Linked DNA regions of Drosophila melanogaster. The protein of the gene in region 2 purifies or fractionates together with the protein of the main gene of each other region. This does not show direct contact. Each region holds a gene or a part of one and is shown on either strand. Other genes may lie near its edges.

Region 1 (7,421 bases), on a different chromosome or scaffold from region 2:
GACTCTCGAGGATCGCGGCATCGAGGCAAGCGATTCGAAAGTCACATCCGTGGTCGGATGGGTCAGGTGGAGCTGACGGATCAGGTGGATGCGCTGCGGAGCTTGTCTGACCAGTTGGGCTACATTGACATGGATCGCGTGGCCATTCACGGGTGGTCATACGGTAAGTTATCTCGAGATAGGTGATTGACATTGTTATAGTGGGGTATTTCCCACAACTCTGCATACTATTTAATCTAATCAACAAGCAAGTCATTCTGAACTTGCAAGTACACAGACAGAATGAAGATGCCTTATCGGTTTATGAACGTTAAATTAATGCACTATAATGGTTACTTTCAATTGAGGGAACTGGGTAAAGGTAAAGGCATTGCAATAATTTCCATATGGTTGTCATTTCAACAGGGGGCTATCTTAGCCTGATGGGCCTGGTTCAGTATCCGAAAATCTTTAAAGTGGCCATTGCCGGAGCGCCGGTCACCAACTGGGAGTATTACGATACGGGCTACACGGAACGATACATGGATATGCCGCAAAATAACGAGGCCGGTTACTCAGCCGGTTCGGTGCTCGAATACGTAAACTCTTTTCCCGAAGAGTGAGTTCTTAAGCTGGTTCTTAAATTGTCAAATTTTCGAAACATTCATGTTTTCTTTTGTTCAGGGACAAACGCCTGCTGCTCATACACGGCCTGATCGACGAGAACGTGCACTTCTGCCACACCTCGCGTCTGATCAGTGCTTTGAACAAGGCAAACAAGCCGTACGAGGTGCATCTGTTCCCCGAGGAGCGGCATTCGTTGCGTAATCTGGAATCGAATAAAAACTACGAAACTAAATTACTGTCATTCTTGCAAAACTTATGAGATTCGTAAATGTCAACAGCCGAAACAAGATCGCCTGCTTAGGCAGTAAAACTAGACCCGCCCCACGCCCTCGTCCCTTTGCAATAGTTTTTTACATCATTGTCTTTGTTTTTATTTGAATTTTTGTTGTTCGAACTATTGTTTTTATTCGATAAAGAAAATGAGAGAAAACGAAATTTGTATCATATTTTTAGCATACTTAATTTATAAACGTACGCAGTTGTAAGTATAATGGAAAGTTGAATGAATGAAAGTTTACCTGCCACCCAATATTAGACTTCAGATCAAGACCAAGCAGCTTATTGTAATTAATTTATACTTAATGTTCTACAACACACGTCATATACTCTTAACTATGTTTTAATTGTGTTTGATATCCGCAAATGTACATTTTTCCTATCAGTAATTATAAGTTGTGTTTTAGTGCGTATGTACGAGTATGAGTGACTGTATGCGTGTTTTCCACAGAAACGGAAAAAAAAAACCTTAAACTTGTCATGCCTTTGGGGCAGGCCATCAATTAATGTTAGTTCTACGCATGCATATATATATATATATATATATATATTATATATCTCTTCGATAAACCTGACGCAAGTCGTATGCATACTTGATTGAGTTCTTAGAAACCCGCGTTTGGCTGAAGCAACAAAAACTGAATTAAATTTAATATTAATTATGCCTATATATAATCATTAGTTTTACAACTGATACAAGCAAACGTATATATACATATATTTTGTTTAACATTTAAATAAACAGTTGTGTGTAAAAGCAGGTGTTTTACTTTTCTCTCTTGTTTGGATTGATGGGGATTTTTGGGCACTGTTCAATTAATTAAATAAATATATTTAAACAAATTCCTTTCTGTCAGCTGCTCGAGGCTACTTTGATGAGTTTCTTAGTTCCATAAATTTGCAATTGCATATTTAAGCAAACTGCCCAAATAGTTCAATTCACATGTTTTGAACTTCAGACATTTAAATTAGCCGCGCTCTGGAAGACTACCCCCAATGCCTACCTTCACCACAGAGGTGTATTCCAGTCGATTTCCGTTAGGCGACCGAACGCCGCGGTACGGTCACACTGCAGGCCGCATCTGCATCTGGCATCTGGCGGTGTTTTTTTGATTTTTTACTCAGTGCTCTCTATCCCTCCGGCCAAGCGCCATAACTCCACAAAACTCGATCCGGAATTATATTGTGAGTTTGTGTGAATGTCTAGGCTTGATCGAGTCGACAATATCGGCAGTAGCGAACGACTCAAGTTCTAGCCAACACAAAGACCACATTCTGCAAGGAATCCGCTAGCGAGGATCTTGCTGAAACCAAGTGGAAGTGGAGGAGACGAGGACTCCAGGCGCCGCGCACAAGAACACAAACAACAAACGACGAGTGCGCTCACACGCAAACACGCATTCAAAATGGCGCCCACAAAAGCAACAACGCGCGCGGCCATCACAAGCGGGCATCATCAGCTGCAGCAGGCAGTGAATCCCATCCTGGGAGCCCTGGGAGCTGCCACTAGGAAGGGACTGACTCGGAGGGCGGCTGCCACGGGAAACATCGATCCGAATGTGGAGAATATGCAGACGCGCGCCAAACGCAAGGCCGACCACAGTCCAATTAAAAATGACAAAATCAAGCGCTCGGCGCTGGGTAACCTGACCAACAATGTTAAGATCATGACACTGCATCCGGCACAGGATGAGGAGCAGTCGGGCGTGGGCAAAAAGCCAACGGCCCAGCAGCTGCAGGCCCTGATGGATGCTAAGAAACAGGAGAATCTCAGCGTAAATGTCTTTGGCGCCAGTAAGATGACTACGCGCGCCTCCAGTAAAGTGGAGGATTCGGTGGAGAACTGCCACAAAGTGCTCGATAAGCTGGAAGAGGCGTTGGCCAGGCCCAAACCGCGCCCCAAGGCAGTGCCTGCCGCAAAAAAGACCGTTTTGGGGGAGGTTCAGCTACCGGCCATGCCAAATCCTATGCAGATTCCCGTTTTACTGCCGCCCACGCACAATCTGGCTGCTCCCCAGGTTGCCGCCGTCAAGCCAGTTCGTCGGATCTCCAATGACTTCAACAAGACTGAGGACAGCCTGTACATGTCCGCGCTGGAGGATGTCTCCAGTTGCGACTCCATGCGGCTGTCTGGAAACTTTGAGGCGGCGCGACGTCGCTCCGCCAAGTTGCAGCAAAAGACTGAGCAGCAGCCACAGCCGCTGTTGCTGACACTCCCAGAGACTGCTCCAAGCCAGGTGGTGCCCATTCCGCCAGTGCCCGAGGAAGTAGAGGACTTCGACCGCAAGAACTGGGACGATCCCTTCCAGGTGTCCCACTACGCCATGGATATATTCAACTACCTCAAAGTGCGCGAAGCGGAATTCCCCATTGCCGACTATATGCCCAGGCAGATCCATCTGACCACCTGGATGCGCACCCTGTTGGTCGACTGGATGGTGGAGGTGCAGGAAACGTTCGAGCTGAACCACGAGACTCTGTACCTAGCGGTTAAGATCGTCGATCTGTATCTCTGCCGCGAGGTGATCAACAAAGAGAAGCTGCAACTTCTGGGCGCCGCTGCCTTCTTTATTGCCTGCAAGTACGATGAGCGACAGCCGCCGCTTATAGAGGATTTTTTGTATATCTGCGATGGTGCTTATAATCACGACGAGCTGGTGCGAATGGAGCGGGAGACGCTGCGCGTTATCAAGTACGATCTGGGCATCCCGCTCTCGTACCGTTTCCTGCGCCGCTATGCCCGATGCGCCAAGGTGCCTATGCCCACGCTGACCCTGGCTCGATACATCCTGGAATTGTCGCTCATGGATTACGCCAATATTTCGTTCAGTGACTCGCAGATGGCTTCGGCCGCACTGTTCATGGCACTGCGTATGCACGGCGGTCCGGGGCAGCTGGACAAGCAGACGTGGACATCGACGCTTATCTACTACACCGGCTATCAATTGGCGGACTTTGCTGAAATTGTGACCGCGCTCAATGCAGGACTGCATCGCAAGCCACGGGCCACCATCAAGACGATACGGAACAAGTACTCGCACAAAATATTCCACGAGGTGGCCAAGGTGCCGCTGCTGACGAACCAGGAGCTCTTCCAGGGCAACCTTGACCTGAACGAAAGCAATCTGTCGTAGGACAGCCTCAAAGTTTAGCCAAATTCAACATGATACGATACGCTTCACTTAGGCTCTAAGACGCTTCTATTCCCAATATTAGCCCCATCCCGACGAAACAGCGGATCCCCGCCTTAATCTAAAAACCCCTGATTTTACCCCTTACCTAGTGTTCCCGTCAAGTCCTCGCAATTTATTATATTTTAATTATTATTGTGACCTTCGCATTATTGACATGTTTTTTGCATAAATATTATGTTAAGAGTGCTTTTGTTTCTTTTTGCCATGTATTATTGTTTAATTTTCCCACATACCGCATACGTAGCCGAACACAATCAATCTAAACTCGAAAGGCGACATTATCTTTAGCACCCCCACCCAAAAAATCCCAAAACGATTCATGTTTTAATATGTACGTTAGTCTTAAGAGATGCCAGCATTAAATAAACCTAACTCGTAAGCCACCAAAGCAGACACGGATCCCCACTAACTTATTCTACACAGATACACAAACGCAAGGATACGAAGCGACTATGAAAGGCACGTGTGTCCCGTACAACCTGGAAATGCGCTGCGATCAACCCTCGTCCCGTGCACGCCATGTACGCCATGTGCATCTGTTCCTGTCGTCGTTATTAATGCTGTTATTTGTTAAGTCGTTCATGGACTCCCCTCCTTGCGCTCACATTCCCGCCCCTCGAAGGACGCTCACCATCAACTTCCCAGTTCCTGATCATACCGCCCCGCCCCGCCCTGCCTCAGTTCACCTCGTTTATCCATGGATGGTTGATAACGTTGCATTGTTGAAGTAACTAGTTATGTATGTACTCAGTGTTATGTATGTATCGTTTTGCGAGAGAATACCAATAAACATTTTTACGTCCGTTCAAAAATACTTCAATCTTTTTACCATCATTACATTCGGAAAACGGTGGGCGAAGTGAAAAAATTCTTACTTTTAATAGGGTAAGTGCAATAAATTCGTATTTTTATTTTTCTTTCTAGAAAACTCTTTTAAAAACCTGATGGAAGTTTCAAAATCGGGTGAGTATTAACTCAGATATAACTAGTTGAATGCAATTGTAGTATCATTAGTGTTTATGTTTACTTTAAATAAGTATTTTAAATTAGCTGTCTTTATCCAGCATGTTGGAAATGATCCTAGTTCCTAGGGGATTAAATAATTTAGGGCATTATTTTCAATTTCCTAGAATCTGGAATGTATGTATTTGTTGCAGTTCAATCTTTAATTGTTAGAAACAGAGCATAAACTCCTAGATGTCAAAGGTTAAGGGAAAACGTTTAGCACATCTAGACTTCTTTGCCGTGAGTATACCCATTACCCCACCCATTCTAATTCCTTTGTTTCGAATCCTCTCAGCTGAATCTGTGCTCCTTTCTCCGCGCTCATCATAGAACAGCTGATGGCTGATGACCTAAGGACATCAAACCCTGGCTGGAATCGGTTCGATTTGCTACAGGTAAAAACCACCGATACCGTCCGTCCAAATCATTCATAATCCATGAGTGTAAGTGTCTGTCTGTATACTCGTAGTCTGTATACCCCGGGCATGATTCTCTCGAGTTTCCTGCGGTTCCTTGCTTTTGGCGCGCTCGTCCGTCATTTTAGCGCCAAAAATTTGTTAAGGATTTGCGCGGCAGGCTGCGCATGCGCCGCAAGACATCAAGACGTCGTCCCTTGGTTGGGTTCCTTTCCTTTCCTTCGGCCCTCTCTTTTCCGCTGCACAGCGAAACCCAGCCGATTTATGTCGCTGCAGTTGGGTCCAGCGAAGGGCACCAGGAGTACCAATACCAGTAACAGCGTCTCTCTCTGACGCTGATTTTCTACCACCACCTTTGGCTCGCCCAGAGTCCTGCCTTTGTGCGTTCCCTTTTTTTCGGCTGCCTGCCAGCCAGGTAGCTCCTGTCGTCTTCGATTGTGTCCACGCCGGATAAAAGAAGCGGCATTGCCATAAGAATAAGGAAAAGAATAAGGATGGGATGTGAATGTCTTGGGTTAGCTGTCTGTATGGGAGCAGAATGCCGAGTGCATGTGCTTTATTTTTTCCGGTTCAAGGTGCAACTGGTAACTGGCCAGCATTGCTAATTATCTTGGTTGGGTGTGCAGAAATCAAGTTTATTTCGCAGGGACACACAGGATGATAGGCAAAGACAGCTGCCTCTGGCCAAGGAGGCAGCAGCGAAGTTATGACTACGACTCGGATTACTTCACGCCCCACCAACACCATTACCACTACCACCACCACCGAGGTCCACCCATGATGTCGGCCAGCTTCAGTAGGCCGGCGAGTTGAAGGCACCGTTGTATCCGCCCCCATATCCACTGCCATAGCCAAAGGCATTGTGATTGTTCAGCACTCCAAATGGTCCCTTGTGGACGCCATCCTCCTTGTACTCGGTGTTCATCGAGAAATGATGGTCCCAATGGCTCGGATCAGCGGGATTGTGAGCCGGATAGCGATGATAGTTCATGCCGCTGGTGGCAGGAGCCTGACCAGCTGCTCCGGGCACTCCTGCCACTCCAGGTGCTCCCGGAACTCCAGCTACTCCAGGAACTCCTGGTTGAGCCACAGCTCCGGGTAGCACTCCATAGGCGGGGAACTGGGCTGGTTGAGGGTACGCTGGGTACTGTGGCAAGTATACTCCGGGGTAGGGATAGCCAGGATAGGCACCAGTTCCCGGGAAGTAACCAGGTGCTCCTGCACCCACTGGCTGCTGGGGAGGAACTCCCACCGGATACTGAGCAGGAACTGCTCCAGCAACAGGATAGCCAGGAGGAGAAACAGCACCTAAAAAGGGGACATTTCATTAATATCATAATTTCATATATATTTCAAAATGTGGATTTGCTATTCACCAATCTTTTAAATTTTGTATAACTTTTTTGGGAGTTAAGACTTGATATTAGTTTTCTGATTTCACTAAGATAAATGAACCACCTATTAGAAGGACCTACCTGCACTTTGGTAACCACCGGATGATGAGGATCCTCCTGAAGAGCCTCCTGCAGCTGGGTACGGAACTGGAGCCTGTTGTCCAGGAAAACCCGGAGGCGGATAAGCGGGAATCTGGTGACCTCCTGTAATTGTGAGTGCCGGATTTGGTGACTGGTTGCCAGGAAAAACAACGGAGTTCGTACTGGCCACTCGTACGCCAGAGCCACCCTGCTCATGGCCATGGGCATCGTCGATGGATCCAGTTGCGCCCGCATAACCCGATCCCAGCTGACCAAGGCCAGGATAAAGTTGCGAATTGAGATTGGCCCGCTGGCGATGGCGACTGCTGGTAATGCCTCCCGTCAGAGTGGAGGCCAGGTTAAACTCCGTCTTCTGATCCTCCTGACTTTCGTCCCTGCTGAATTGCGAGGCCTGACCGCTGGCTATCTGGATGAGGGCCAGAGCGGCG
Region 2 (6,774 bases):
GGAAATAGACCAAGTTTAAATTTGAAATTTCTGTAATATAGTGAATAATCTTTAAATAAACTAATTTATTTCTTGTTATATCATTTGGGATGGAAAATTTAAACAAAAATCTAATGTAAGTAAAGAGGGTAATCTCCATTCATTGTTACGCATCACACAAAGTAAATTCTCGCATTCCCTTTCCCCCCATTAATTAAACTTTTAAAATATTTCTGTTAAAAGCGAATATAATTTTGTTGATTTTAATTTTATTTATGCTAAACATAAATCGTTTTATAGTGAGAAACTAAATACAGGCAACGCCAGTGGTGAGAAATCGGCTCAACCAATTCCTTTTTTGGATATTTCTAAATCTTAACTAGAGTTGACGTAATAAAATCCAATTATTTTAGTATGTACAGGCAAATATTTAAACTGGAATCGGCATTTACAGAATTAAGTAAAACCAAAATCGGTTGCAATTAAATTGATGTTAGTTTGAACCTTATACTTTATACAATTCACATGAGTGTTGTTGACATTAAAAAAAAAATGGCAAGCCATCCAGATGACACGTTTCTTATAACTCTATAACACATTCTTAATTGTAAATCAGAAATCGTATTATTTACATTGGCCAACGGCGACGACTCTCAATTTACTTCATATACACACTTATATGCGAGATGAACCTATGCCAAGATTTGCCACCACGGTGGCCTCCCAACCACTAACATCCAAAGTGATATTTACTTAGTCGCTAGCCGAAAACTAAGCAAGTCTCTCGTCACATCTCGTTTCGCCCACTATCATCTAGTGTGATTTTGCCCATGTCCAGTCGAACGTACATGCACAGAAGGAAGCACTGACTATCTAGGAATTGACAAAGATCAGGCTCTGCCACTCATTCGATCCCATGCGATCGGTCCTACAGGCTTTTGGTTATGTTCTGGAAGAGGCGACGTCCCCACCACGACTCCAGGTCGAAGGGCTTGAAGTCCTGTAGCGCTGGACTCGGTGGCTCCACCCAGACAGTGGCTGTCGAGGCAGCGGGCACTGGGCTGTTGGCCATTATGCTTTCCACTGGACTGGCGGCGCTGTTGTTGTTGGCATCCGCTACAGGTTTCTCAACAGGCTTGGCGGATGAGCTCGAGTCGTAGGGATTCTGCGCCACCAGCATGTTCCAGGCTGCCAAAAAGTAACAAAAGTAAACCACATTTATTAAATACTTATAAGTACATCTTTACAATCATATTTCCGACTTACAGTCATTTATGTAACGTATTATTTCCTCATGTTGCGGCGTTATCACCTCATCCTCGATCAGTTTGGTTGGCGTTATCCGCTTGGTGGCGAAGCTCTGTTGAAACACCGGACGCGGTATGCTGTTTTTTTAAAAATCAGGAAATATGCATACAATTTTAATAACAATGTTCTTGAATTTCAATGAAAAGGCACTTATGCAAACCACACAGATTCCACCAAACATGTGGACTACGAAAATAAATCACTTGGAGAACGAGGTGGGGTAACTTGGGTTCGACAGCTTGCTACTCAGTTCGAGGAACGCTAAATGCATTTTAATTCGAGAAAGGCGCTGCAGTTCGTCGATTACATTATTTTGGCTTTTAAATGTTAAAATTACATATCGATGAAAAAATTACAAACTCAATATATACTCATAAGAGCAATGAGTACTGATAAGCTATCTACAGTGGCAGATAGTAAACAGTGCCATCCCATTGACTGACAAGGATTTGTGGTTTATTAATTTAGATAATAGTATTTCGGCAAAGGGTTAGGTAATTTTTATCTTGAAGTTCTAAAAATAAAAGCAATCGCAAGAAATTAAATACAATTGGGAGTTTATAAAGTTAATATTTATATAGAGAACTTTTCAGATTTCAGCTGAAATGGCTATGGGAAATTCTAGAAAACTCGCATCCATAAGATACTTTTAACAGCAAGCGTAATACAGTTGATATAAAAGGCATAAAAATAAACAAGAAATGAGATACACTCTTCAATTACCTATAAGTACTCTACTCTGAAGTTACATGTTTCGATTGCAGTTAGACATTCGGAATAACTCCACACCCTTCCAGGTAAAATAAGTAAATTAATCAGCCTTGTTTTGGCACAACCTGTGCCGAGCATTGCCGCGAAGTTACGTTGGAGCCGTGACGTAACGGACGTGGAAAAGTCAATGCCTCAATGGCCTCAATGGGCATTTAAATTAAAATGGAGCCGATAACCGACGCCTGACCCACGTGTTTCCAATGGGTCTCCCCTAGCGAGAATAAGACTACTTGCTCGGGAGCAATTAGCATTACTGTGCTAGGTCGCCACGGATTCTTGCGATAAAATGTCAGTGCGATAAGACGAGGGTCTTGAACCCCAGTCCGCGTTTTCCCCCGTCACTTTTCCCGCTTTCCACATTTCACCATGTGCCATCCGTTTGCATAAGCACCCAAGATTTGGGTATGGTTACATATGAGCATGGCATTCTTACTTTTTGTGCTCCTCGGGACTGTTCAGATCGAAACTAGCGTTCTTGCGGCCGCTCTCCTTGATGCTTTCGAATTTTTCAAAATTTGGTGCCAGGCCTGCGGATGGAAAACATGCCATGGAAAGCTATAAAATACGCATTTACTGTGGAAAACGCCGGCAAAACAAAAAGTTAACAGAGCCAGAGAGCAAGAGAGGCAGAGGCAGATATATAGAGAGAGAGAGAGAGAGAAAGGAAAAGAGTATGTTTTTGTGACATAACAGCTGTTCTCTTGAAAGGGTCTATTGTGGCATTATTAACCATTATTACTATCAATATTTTGGACTCACCGCGACGCGTTTTAGCAACAATTTTGCTAGGTCCCTTGTTGATTGTGTACATGGTGGTGGGGAGATGGGGAGTACCGGCTGAAAATATACCTTGTCCTTTCGATTTACGTATTGTTGTTTTCGTTTCTGGCAACGAAATGCCTAGCCGACTGCTATGATTTTGAGTATTTTTCCGCTCTAGGCAATCATATGATCATTGGCAGCCCAGCCTGCCCCACGCCGCCTCCTTTTGGCCTATTGTCATCGTCTCAAAAGGTTACACAATACACTTCACTTAGGGCAGTGATTCCGATTTAGCACTCTTTGATTTTGATGGCTGCCGCACCGCGCTCGTATCAATTGTTTTCGATTAAAATCACCGACAATTACTCCTGGAAACGCGTTTGTAATGTTCTGTGTTCGGCGGACGAGGCTCCAATGCAACTGCCCCATTCAAATCGCATAACGAAATGTTAAGAGAGACACCCGCAAAGAGCCGTATGTTAGGGCGTTCATGCGGCAGACAACTCGACTTTCAGCAGATCATAATTTCTTCATGGCAGTAACCCACGGCAGTGATTTTATTTGATAAGCGTTTATTTCTTTAGGCTTTCAACTATAATGGGCACTATCAATTGTTTAGTAAAGTCTTTATTTTATAATAGCAATCAGCTTTAGGTTTCGTAGTTCGCGAAGTCGATTAACGCATAAACTGTACAACCGATACACGTGTATGCCCACCATATGATTTCGCCAGTATGTACACACTTTAAAACGGCAGTGGGTTCTTTCACCTGCGCGCGTTTTTTTAAAAGCGTATTAATTGATTAGAGGCTACATTTAAAAGATTGGATTATTGAAAGCATTTAGAGATCCAATATAATTGAAAGCATTTGGAGATCCAATAAATTATATTTTTATATTATCTTTAAGGAATTATTATCTATAAAGTAAGAAATTAATATACTCCATTAAAAAGTTATGCACTTTAAACACCAAATTTGGAAATTGTTACGAATTCCTTTCTAATTTATTGCGATTTGTAAAAGGCGGACTTTATGGCGGTAGACTAAAACCCATTACTACCTGCTCGCGTAATTCTGAACGCATTAAAAAGGGATTAGCGAGAATTTTCTGCGGAAATTTTAATTATGAGCAGGTAGCACCATAAAAGTGACAGATGTGGAAAACGGATAAGCTGTATTTTCCGCGCAGATATTTATGGCAGTCCTGAAATTGCACACTCAAGTGGATATAAAGAAGGCCGTGGGCAAAAGGAAATCAGTAGCAAATCAGCAACGTCAAGCTTCACATTAACTTCCTGATCAGCCAGCCTAGCAGTTATTATGTCGTCGACAAATGAAACCAACCAAGTGCTGCAGCGCCTGAACAGCCTGAAAATCGTGGAAACCCCAAAGGAGCAGCATGAGTTCGGAAAACGCGAGTGCTACTCCCTGGACAGCAAGAAGTATTCCCTGGTACCAGCCACCCCCAGCAGCTCAGGACACGGAAAGTTCCAAACCGAACTCAAAAAGCGCCGCAAAAACAAACTGAATCGCATGTACACTTACGAGGCTGATAAGAATTTCATCAAGGCTCGCAAATCTTTGAACTTCTAATCATAATACGAACCGATGTAATCACCTTAGTCATAAGCATCATTGATTTCAAATCGTACAGTCACAATTCTTTTCACGCTCTGATACAACAAAAATATATATAAATACTTTTGAAACATTTTACTTTCCGCGTCTTTCTCTGACTTACCGTTATGTGGGCAGCCAAACTGATTGTGGTCACACTGCTGCTGCTGCAGTTTGCAGCCCTGGCGCTCAGCTGTTCGTGCGGCGAAGAGGCGAAATTGGAGTGCGGTTGCACAAAACATCACTAAAAACACAAATACTTGGGAATATTACACAAATTATTGTAAATAAATAGGAAATCACAATTTAGTTAAGATGGCGGACATACCGGCAACCAGCGAAGGTAGTGCGAACACTAGTGAGGCAGTAGTGGAGTATCAGCAGCCAACTCCGGAGTTTTTACAACGCAAAATCTATTTTTTGGTGGACCAATTGCGAACTTACCATTCGGAACTTCCCGAGTAAGTCCTTGATATTTAGTTTATTTAAATATTTAACGCCATTTTTGATTAACAGAAACTTGCAGACACGCATTTCCTACGATCTACTCACCGAACTCGCCAATTGTGTGCTAAACGATGGCATTTTTGTAATAGTAAAAGCATTAATGGAGCTGCAACACGAAACCGAAAGACACTTAATTAAAATACGGATGCAGGCGGAGAACGAGTATGAAATAGAAGTGGCCGAGTGGAGGAGCAAGATCAAGGATCCCGAGGAGTTGCGCCACATTTTGGGACTCATGAAAATAAAGCACACTAAGAAACTACACGAGTCGGATACGAAGATTATCGAAATACTAGATCAAAAGGTGAAGAATTCAATATCCTTTTGAGTCGTTCCATTCCACGCACTTTTAGTTGGTCTTACCATCCAAATTTCTTTAAAAACAATAGTCGAATCTCAAACTTAGATAATCCTAATCCTATTTAAAATTAAATTCAAATATGATACATAGTTTGATTATGGATGGATCTATAGATTAGGTATATTTTAGGTATATATTTATCTGCAGATTCTTATAATTGAAATGAAATTATCACTAAAGATATTTTCTTTTGTAATACAAATTATTTCTAATCATAACTTTAAATGCTTATATGGGAATACGAAATTAGATTTTACTACTTTAACTTTCTTTGTTTTTTCTTGATGTTGAACTAATATCTAATATCATTACGCAGGTTAATGACCAACAATCCACACTTCAAAAGGCCGGCGTTCCCGGCTTCTATGTCACCGAGAATCCCAAGGAGATAAAAATACAAATGTTCCTGTTGGACTTCATTTTGCGTTTGAGCCGGCTAAAATACGAGCCCGGCAAATAACAGTTAGTCCACAATCCGGAGAACACAAAAGACTGCACTTGACTTGTTCAAATTAGAATATTAAAGGCAATTAAATTATAACCCTGATCAAATGTCCCAGCTGTACGATCAATTGTGGCCCCAAGAAACCTGTAGCGCTGCGCAGTTTTAATCAGCGTAGAATCGGGAGAGGGAGAAAGAGACGGGGCCGGCCGCCAGAAGACTGAAGAGCGGGAGAATTGATAACGATAGCGCGGCACTCTCCACATTCGCGTAGAAAGCGGGAGAGGCGGCAGTATAAATTGGACCGACCTTTCTGCAGATGCATCAGTTCAGCTTTAAATGTTAAAAGCGACACATTAAATAAATAACAATTTTAACTAGTGAAATCATGTCTCTGACTATTACTTCCAGTGTCACTCATCCTGAGCTCAAGGATCTGGTAAGTAATTGGTCTAGTGATTGGTGCCTAATCCTGTGACTAGTGATTTCAAATGTCCTGCGGTTTAATTCGAGCTTAAATGTAAATTAAAAAATGCTATGATAGCTAATGAAATATATTTTAAATTTTTTTTTGCCGAATCGTGACTTTAATACACCTTTAAACAGTGTACAAATATAAATAAACAAATATATGCAATTAAATTATTTGATGTACAAGACATAAGTAATTTGTGAAGAGTCTTAAAGTTTCTTGAACCCCCAAGGCCGGGTGGCCAAAACTTTGATGTGCTTAGTCATAAAAGCCAGTTTCCGACATCTAATGTTCAGAATAATTAAAGCTCATGTGAGCACCTTTTTGTTGGCTAGAGGAATTCGGTTTGTTTTGGCCAGGTTCAGTTGCTTCCCAACAGTTGAGCAGTTTACACATAATAATGTTTTCGCGACTGTTTCGTAATTTCAAGGCGAGTTTTGCTCACCTAAAACCGCATATTTAAATGGTTTTAAAAGTGATTTAAGCTAGGATTAATTTAGTTGTTTGCTGTGCGAAGTGAAGCGCTGTTAGCCAACGACTTTTACTTTCTTTA
Region 3 (7,421 bases), 1.1 Mb from region 2:
CTGCAAATGACGAAAATCCGTTGAGTTTAGCACAGAGTCCGTGAAACTCATGGTGTCGGTAAGCTTGTTGGAGCCGCACGAAGTGCGCTCCGCATGGGAGTTGCTGCTCTGGTTCTCCTTGTTTTCCCCATCGTCATAATTGTTTCCACGACCATGCTCCCACAGGTGGTTGACAACCTCTACAGTGGATGTATCCGAATTGAGATCTATGTCCCTTAGCGCCTTGTCGATCGCGGAGAGACTTAGGATCTCGGAGCTCGACGGCGGACGCTTGGTCTCTTTGGCTGCCAGACCATTCCTGCTCTTTAGCGCAGTTTCAATCCGATCCTGTTGCATCTTACGCATAAGATTGCGTCCGAGATTCGAGCCAGTTATGGCATCCGTTTTAGTGTATGTTTTATTGTCTGGCTGTGGGGTCTTCTCGCCAACCGAATCCAGTGTCACGTTACTTTCTGGTTCCAATAGCGGTTGGTTGGTTCGCGAACGATTCGGGCTGCTATTGCTCACAATGTTCCATATATTTTCCGAACGCGTCTGGAAGTAGTTGCCCAGCGAAAAGTCTGGATCTCCGGCCAAGACAGAACTGTAAATAAAAGTTGAAAGTTGATCAAATTATATTTGGAAGACTATTTTATGTTGCTTACTTGGACACCGAGGTTTCTATCTCGGATGTTGGTGCGGCAATCTTCTTCAACGCCTGTGTGCTCAACGTGGCCGTCGGCATGGCCGTGAACTCCTGCGCCCAGGAGATTTCACCGAGCACCAATTTGGACTGCATTAGCTCGGCGGGAGCAAAGCTCTCATCCTGGCCTTCCGCCGCCAACGAGGCAGATCCAAAGGAAAATCCCCCACCTCCGTTAAGACTCAGTTCACTCATGTCCGCAGTGCGCGGTAAGCTGCGCGAGCAGTTGAATGAATCTGAGAGGCTGCTGGAGCTGCCACGTGATAAGTGATAGCTGGCCTCCGCCTGACTGGCATCCTGCAGCTTCCTTTCCAACAGGCGAGCCTTCTCAACGAAGGATGACTTTAGAATTTCGGCCACCGACAGGGATGGCTTCTCCCTGCGGCGCTGTTTTCCCGCCTGGCAGAGTGTGGACCTGCCGGTGATCTCCGCAGGCTCAAAAGAGATGTTTGTGCCCTTGGTGGCGGGCGTGACCAAAGCAAAGGAGCTGCTGCTGTTCAGATCGATGGTGTCGTCTGTTACCAGCTCCGAGATGTTTGTGGACAAGCGCATCTGGAGGGCAGTGCTCTTTGCTTGGCTGGAACGCGACGGTCGGGGCTTTTCCAGTGTCTCCAGCGCACGCAGTCGTTCTTCTCGGAGCCGCTCGTGGACGGCGGGAGAGTCCCGACCAGTGCCGCTCCTCCTTCCACTTTTGCTGAAGCTGGACAAGTCGCCGAAGACTGTAGGGAATGAGGATTACTTGCTGCTTCGGCTTATTTCCGGCGTGCTCCACCTGCTTACCCTTTAGATTGTCCATGTTCAGGATGCCCAGCGAGTTCTGGTCCATGAAACTGCCATTTCCTTGGCTTCCACTGCTACTGTCCATTCCGCTTTGTCCTTAAACAGTTACAGTTTGCAGTGCGAACGCGAAAACAAAAAAAAGGCGCGTCGCTTCGATCAAAAATGGACGTCGATAAATGATAAAAGATCCAGGGCTGCATACTAGTGTCGAAGCGGCCTTTGCTTACTTGTCCGGTCGATCAAATGTCAAAAATGTAAATATTTTTAGTATTCTACTGCATCACTGCTGCTAGCGCATATATCAAAACTCCACAATAAACAAAAAAACATAAATACACATATATAATAAACAAAAAAACATAAATACATATATTAAAGAAAAATGTTAACACAAGTCACCAATTAACTGCGCGAGATAAATTTACGTTACATCCCCACTCGTTAAACCGCAATGATAACCGCTAGCCAATTCAAGAGTAGAATGTAAAATAAGCTTACGATAAACTGTAAACTGCAACAAGCGCAAAACGTGCGACGGGGATTTCTCCCCGGTATTCCACTTTTCAATTCTCAATACCGCGTAACGTCGTCTGCAATTTGTACCGGATTGCATTGGATTATCCGCCTGGGCGCGAACAGTAACTCCCCAAAAATGGAGGCAGCTATTCTGGATATAATCAACGGGATCCTGACCATAGACACGGAACGAATCCGTGAGGTGAGCAAAGCGGGCCATCCGGCAATAAGAAAGGAGGTTATCCTGGGCGCCAATGGATGTCTTTCATGTATGCTTTCCTTTCTGACTGCTTCACGTTTGTCTGATCAGTTAAGTTGAATCCACACTTAGCTGTAAAAATAGGTGTATAATATTTTTTTTTTTTTTAATTTAATGTTTAATGTTCTATTTGATCAGAACAAACTTCCGAAAACTATTGCACTTTTTTAGAAATAATTATTTATATATAAATAATAATTATAATAATTATTAAAAAAAATTATTATAAAAATTATAAAAATAATTATAATTAATAATAATTAATTAATATTATATTTTTATTTGCATTAAACTCGTGGATATACCATTACATTGCTCGAATGGACGCACACTTCGTCGCTTCCTAATTGAAAAATTACTTATGTTGATAGCATGATAGCATAGGGCCATAAAAGTCGCTAATAAAGTTCCATTTCTTTCGCTTCCTTAGTCCACAGCCAAGATGCTAAAGGCCTACGAGAATCCCGATTCTCTGCTGGTTCTCACCCAGATCGTGATGTCGGACAGGCCGGTCCAAGAGCGGCAGGTCGCCGCCGTGCTCCTCAAGAGGCGGGTCAAAAAGTTACGCCACTGGCAGTTGGTTCCCGCCGAGCACCAGGCAGCGTGAGTTAACTGGTTACCTTTTAATGACTATGATACAGTAACGGATGCATGTTTTTTAGAATCAAATCGAACATGCTACAGGTCCTCATCGCGGTGAAGGAAAAGACCGTGAAGGGCACGGTGGCCTTTATAATTGGATCGCTGGTGCGCCACGAGGAGGGCGAGCAAAACTCCTGGAGGGAGGAAATACTGAAGTTTATTTACGAACGTTGCAGCAGCCCCGATCCAATAGAAAGCGAGCGGGGCAGCTCAATCTTTTCCTCGCTCATGGACGCTGCTCCCGATCAGTTTTCGGACCACACGGATACTATGTTCCCATTGCTTGCCGGCATTCTAGTTACCGCCGAGGCGAATGGGAACATGGCCACACCCACCGTGCATAACATGCTGACCGGTTCATGCTTCTTGTTGCCTTTCGTAAGTGGACATAGTAATGCTGAGCAGATTGTGGTTAAGGCTGTGCCGCTCATACTCAAGGCCCTGGCCGCCTTTGTCGAAAAGGGGTACAGTATTGAGTTCATGGGTGCCTTTGATATCATCGACAGCATGGCCGAGCATGTGCCCCACTTGCTGACCGGTAATGTGAAGCTGCTTCTGGAGTTTTGTCTGATGATTGCGAGAAACAAGCAGTTCGACGCTTCGATTCGGGTTCAGGTGCTTACCTTTGTAGGCAGCCTAGTTCGCCTCAAGAAGAAAATTATTATGAAGCAGAAACTACTACAGCCCACACTATCTGTTCTTTTCGAAGTGATTTGCCAGGACGACCTCGAGGAAGGTGGTAACTGCTCCTTTATATTTCTGTTGCCATGCTTGCTAACCCTATTCCTATTCTAGACGATGATTACTTTTCCTCGGAGAGCCTGAGTAGTCCATCCAATGCAGCTGCGCAGACACTGGACCTGATGGCCCTTCACATGGTGCCGGACAAGTTTATTCCGCCACTACTGGATTTGCTGGAGCCTGCGTTGCAGAGCCCGGAACCTGTGCTTCGCCGTTCCTCTTTTATTTGCATGGGCGTTATTGCCGAGGGCTGTTCCGAGGCCATTGGGAAAAAGTATCTCGAGGTCATGCTAAATATCATCAAAGCTGGAGTGTTGGACTCTGTTATGTTCGTGCGGACCGCCGCATTCTTCGCCCTCGGTCAGTTTTCCGAGTTTCTTCAGCCGACGATCTGCAAGTTTGCTCCCCAAATTCTACCCGTGTTGTTCGACTATCTAAACCAGCTGGTACTGGAACTCAAGGTAGGTAATCATTGTGGCCATCTTCGACCAACTTGGAATTTGTATATTTTACATTCTCGTTTATTTGTTTGTGCTGCTTCTAAAGGCTGGCCATAACAGCAATGGGCCAAATCTCGATTCCGTACCTGCCAAAGATTCCATAATGTACTTAGACAAGATACAGATCAAGCGAAGATCGGTCCTCGCCAAATATAGGGTGCTTTTTCGATGTCTTACTGTTTACTATGTACTTGATTGCACATCAAACACCTAAAATTTGTTGAATAGTTTGCCAGATTGATTACATTAAGAGCTCTGTTGTAGATATATCATTTCGCACTGGTTTATTTAACTTTTTGGCGTATGTTAAATGTTCATTGACTCGTTTCTTAATTGTTATTTAAATGAGTAATAAGTTCGTCGGTTACATAAAGAAGGTGTCTTCAAATGGGGTTCTTTTCACGTTTTTTGAGGACTGCATTCCGTTTTGCACCAACAAAGCCAACAAATTGTTTGGCAGAAACATACTAAATGTATTTTCTTTCAGGTTGGTGAGCCGGATTCGAAACATATGGATCGTATGTTTTATGCCCTGGAGACCTTTTGCGAGAATCTGGATGAGGATATTGTTCCTTATTTACCCACACTTATGGATCGGTAAGACTAGACTATACTACGGAAATATGAGTCCACTCCCTGATAAACTTATTGTGCAGTCTGTTTGGGGTTATGGAACCGCAGAACTCAAATCAAATGCGTGAAATGGCTTTGTCGGCCATAGCAGCGGTGTCAGCAGCAGCTAAGGAAAACCTGATGCCATATTTCCCCAGGATCATGACCGTACTACAGGGCTGTCTGGTGAAGGATTGCCCAAAAGAAATGTACAGTCAGCGCATCCAAGCTATCGACACTCTGGCCGCGCTGTGTCGCGAATTGGGCAAGGATAATATTATTCCTCTTGCCGACGATACAATGAACTTCTGCCTGATGATGCTGGAAGACGGTCCGGATGATCCCGAGTACCGCAGGAGTATATACAACCTGATGTCCTCCCTGTCATCAGTTGTCAACGAGAGCATGGCCAGTGTGTTCCCCAAGTTCATTGATCGCATAATGGAGTCTGTGATTTTTTCGGAGGACATGGTGCCAAATGTGTCGGACAATGCGGACGATGATTTGGCCCTAGTAGATGCCCCCGACATAGAGATTGATTTAGAGCACACAGACGACGAAGATGACCAAGACGCTTACCCGGTGGAGAATGATTATATCGTCGAAAAGGAGGAGGCCATTCTGTCACTCAAGGAGTTTGCTACCCATACCGGCGCCGCCTTCGCGCCCTATTTGCAATCTGCATTCGAGAACGTCTACAAGATGATTGATCATCCGCAAGGCGACGTTCGTATGGCATGTATTGACTCCATTTGCTCGTTCATTACGGCTCTCCACAAGTTGGATGATGCCGCCGGCCTGAAGCGCGCCTGCGAGATTGCCATTCCAAAGTTTGCACATATAATGCGCACCGACGACCAGGTTGCGGTCGTACTCCGCATGCTTGACGTCCTCTACGATGTCTTCAAGTACGTGCCGGCGATAAACAGCCAGGAGCACGCCGAACTTATATTCGGTTGCATCAGGGACATCTTCACAAATAAAATGGCCTGTCAGTTTAACGAGGAGAGCGGCGGCGGAGATGATGAGTGTTCGGAGGAAAGCGAGAACGACGAGATGCTGTTCGAGAACGCTGCCAATCTGTTCCCCATGTTTGGCTTAACCCTTCAGCCGGAGCTGTTCTCGCTTTATTTTGGACGCCTTTACCATTTCTATATTCAAAGGCTGGTAGGTTTTGCACGAAATACCGAACATGATGTGGCAAAGGAGAGAGGTCGATCTTCTCTTGGCAATAATTCATACAACCATCGATATTCCGAACGGCTTACTGAAATTCAATTATTTCGTTTCAGGCGAAGGTAAAGGAGCGCGATTTACCAGAACAGCGGGCATACATCTATGGCGCACTTGCTGACTGCTGCAAGGCGTTAAAAGGTTGCTGTGCTACTTATTTCGATGCCCTACGTCCCATTTTTATCGCCGGTTCCAGGGATTCTGATGCCAAAGCGCGACAGAACTCCTATTTTGCACTAGGCGAAATTGTCTTCCATTCCGAGGAAAAATCATTCGAGTGGGTTTCCCGGAAATGAACTTTTCTGCAGAATCTAGTTTTGATGTATATGTTTTTTGTTTTTTTTTTGCATCCATAGGTCTTATCCGACAATTTTGCAAGCCCTTTCCGAAGCAATTGTCAGGGAATCCGTTCCTGCCGCCATGGACAACATTTGCGGAGCAGTTGCTCGTCTCATAGTTACCAACCCAGATTCAGTGCCGCTTGGCCAGGTGCTGCCCGTGTGGCTCAACCATTTGCCACTGAAGGATGACACCGTGGAGAACGATGTGATTCAGAAGGCGTTCCGTGTGCTATACTTGAAGGCCCGCCCCAGCATTGAGGCACATCTTGAGCAAATCCTGGCCATCACCATAGAGGCGAGTTACAAGAGACAGATGCCTGACGTCGAGACAACCGAGAGCGCGGTGGCCCTCATCAAAGAGATTCGCGCCAACTACCCGGAACTGTTCAGCAAAGTATCGAACATGAATCCAGAAGTGTTCAATTATGTGCAAGCCCTGTAAGCCCACATATCCGTGTGAAAACCACCAAACAGCTCAGCACACCCAACGTCCTCCGCCCGCAGATTCATTTATTGGAAGTGATGCAAGCTTTTTATACGAATACTTTCGAAATAGTCTTAAATTTCAGTTGTGCTTCTGTGGAGTTAAATCATTCAAGATGAGCGATCTTTAAAATGGCAAGATGAAGGTTTCTACGCGCCAAAAAACGGAGGCAAATGTTTTCTAACTTATAACCACATCCAGTGAGACATTAATATGCATTGAAATAATATAGGGATTACTTGTTTCATTGAAGGCTATGTTATTATTTAAAATTGGTTTTTCTTCAACCATTAGGCAGTTGATCTTAACTCTTATAGTTTCAGTCTAGTTTCTACCAGTGTGCATTTCGTCGGATGACAACCTCACGGACTATGTCGGCATGATTGGCGTGCAGCTTGAGATTCGAGTCGACGTCCGTCCAGCGCACATTGGAGGCATCGTCACCGGCCATTAGCTCCAATTGTCCCACCTGGCTCCCGTCTTCATCGTGGAAGTTCAGCGCAGTGGTTTCCATCCAAGCGTTGTCCGTGTTTCGAAAATCGTCTACGTAGCCTTGGTATACCTGAACGCCTCCCGCTTGAAAAAATCGCTCAACCATGTTGGCTTTGTCCGTGAAATTCAATGCCTCCTC

Evidence for each region.
Region 1: the proteins of Z600 (region 2) and CycB3 purify together in Drosophila melanogaster (affinity purification with western blotting, with the first as the bait; one study listed by BioGRID). This does not show direct contact.
Region 3: the proteins of Z600 (region 2) and Apl purify together in Drosophila melanogaster (affinity purification with mass spectrometry, with the first as the bait; one study listed by BioGRID). This does not show direct contact.

The regions. Positions count from the first base shown.
Region 1 is NT_033777.3:24,865,396-24,872,816, reverse strand, and holds CycB3 (cyclin B3), read left to right. Parts: upstream 1-2,000; 5' UTR 2,001-2,288; coding exon 2,289-4,016; 3' UTR 4,017-4,883; downstream 4,884-7,421. Other genes in the region: CG3744 (uncharacterized protein), read left to right, coding at 1-163, 406-598, 664-865; Elal (Elastin-like), read right to left, coding at 6,291-6,805, 6,973-7,421. UniProt on the Drosophila melanogaster protein: Cyclins are positive regulatory subunits of the cyclin-dependent kinases (CDKs), and thereby play an essential role in the control of the cell cycle, notably via their destruction during cell division.
Region 2 is NT_037436.4:15,504,982-15,511,755, forward strand, and holds Z600 (Z600), read left to right. Parts: upstream 1-4,079; 5' UTR 4,080-4,142; coding exon 4,143-4,415; 3' UTR 4,416-4,532; downstream 4,533-6,774. Other genes in the region: CG7841 (uncharacterized protein), read right to left, coding at 908-1,167, 1,246-1,364, 2,492-2,585, 2,818-2,869; gdl-ORF39, read left to right, coding at 4,568-4,687; gdl (gonadal), read left to right, coding at 4,755-4,900, 4,956-5,250, 5,624-5,767; MsrA (methionine sulfoxide reductase A), read left to right, coding at 6,138-6,188. UniProt on the Drosophila melanogaster protein: Cell cycle regulator that is involved in modulating and adjusting cell proliferation according to the requirements of the developmental program. Interacts with mitotic Cdk1-cyclin complexes to inhibit mitotic entry at the G2/M transition.
Region 3 is NT_037436.4:16,593,420-16,600,840, forward strand, and holds Apl (apollo), read left to right. Parts: upstream 1-2,000; 5' UTR 2,001-2,114; coding exon 2,115-2,180; intron 2,181-2,667; coding exon 2,668-2,840; intron 2,841-2,899; coding exon 2,900-3,618; intron 3,619-3,674; coding exon 3,675-4,081; intron 4,082-4,607; coding exon 4,608-4,717; intron 4,718-4,776; coding exon 4,777-5,899; intron 5,900-6,024; coding exon 6,025-6,242; intron 6,243-6,321; coding exon 6,322-6,748; 3' UTR 6,749-7,040; downstream 7,041-7,421. Other genes in the region: spd-2 (spindle defective 2), read right to left, coding at 1-583, 645-1,401, 1,463-1,547.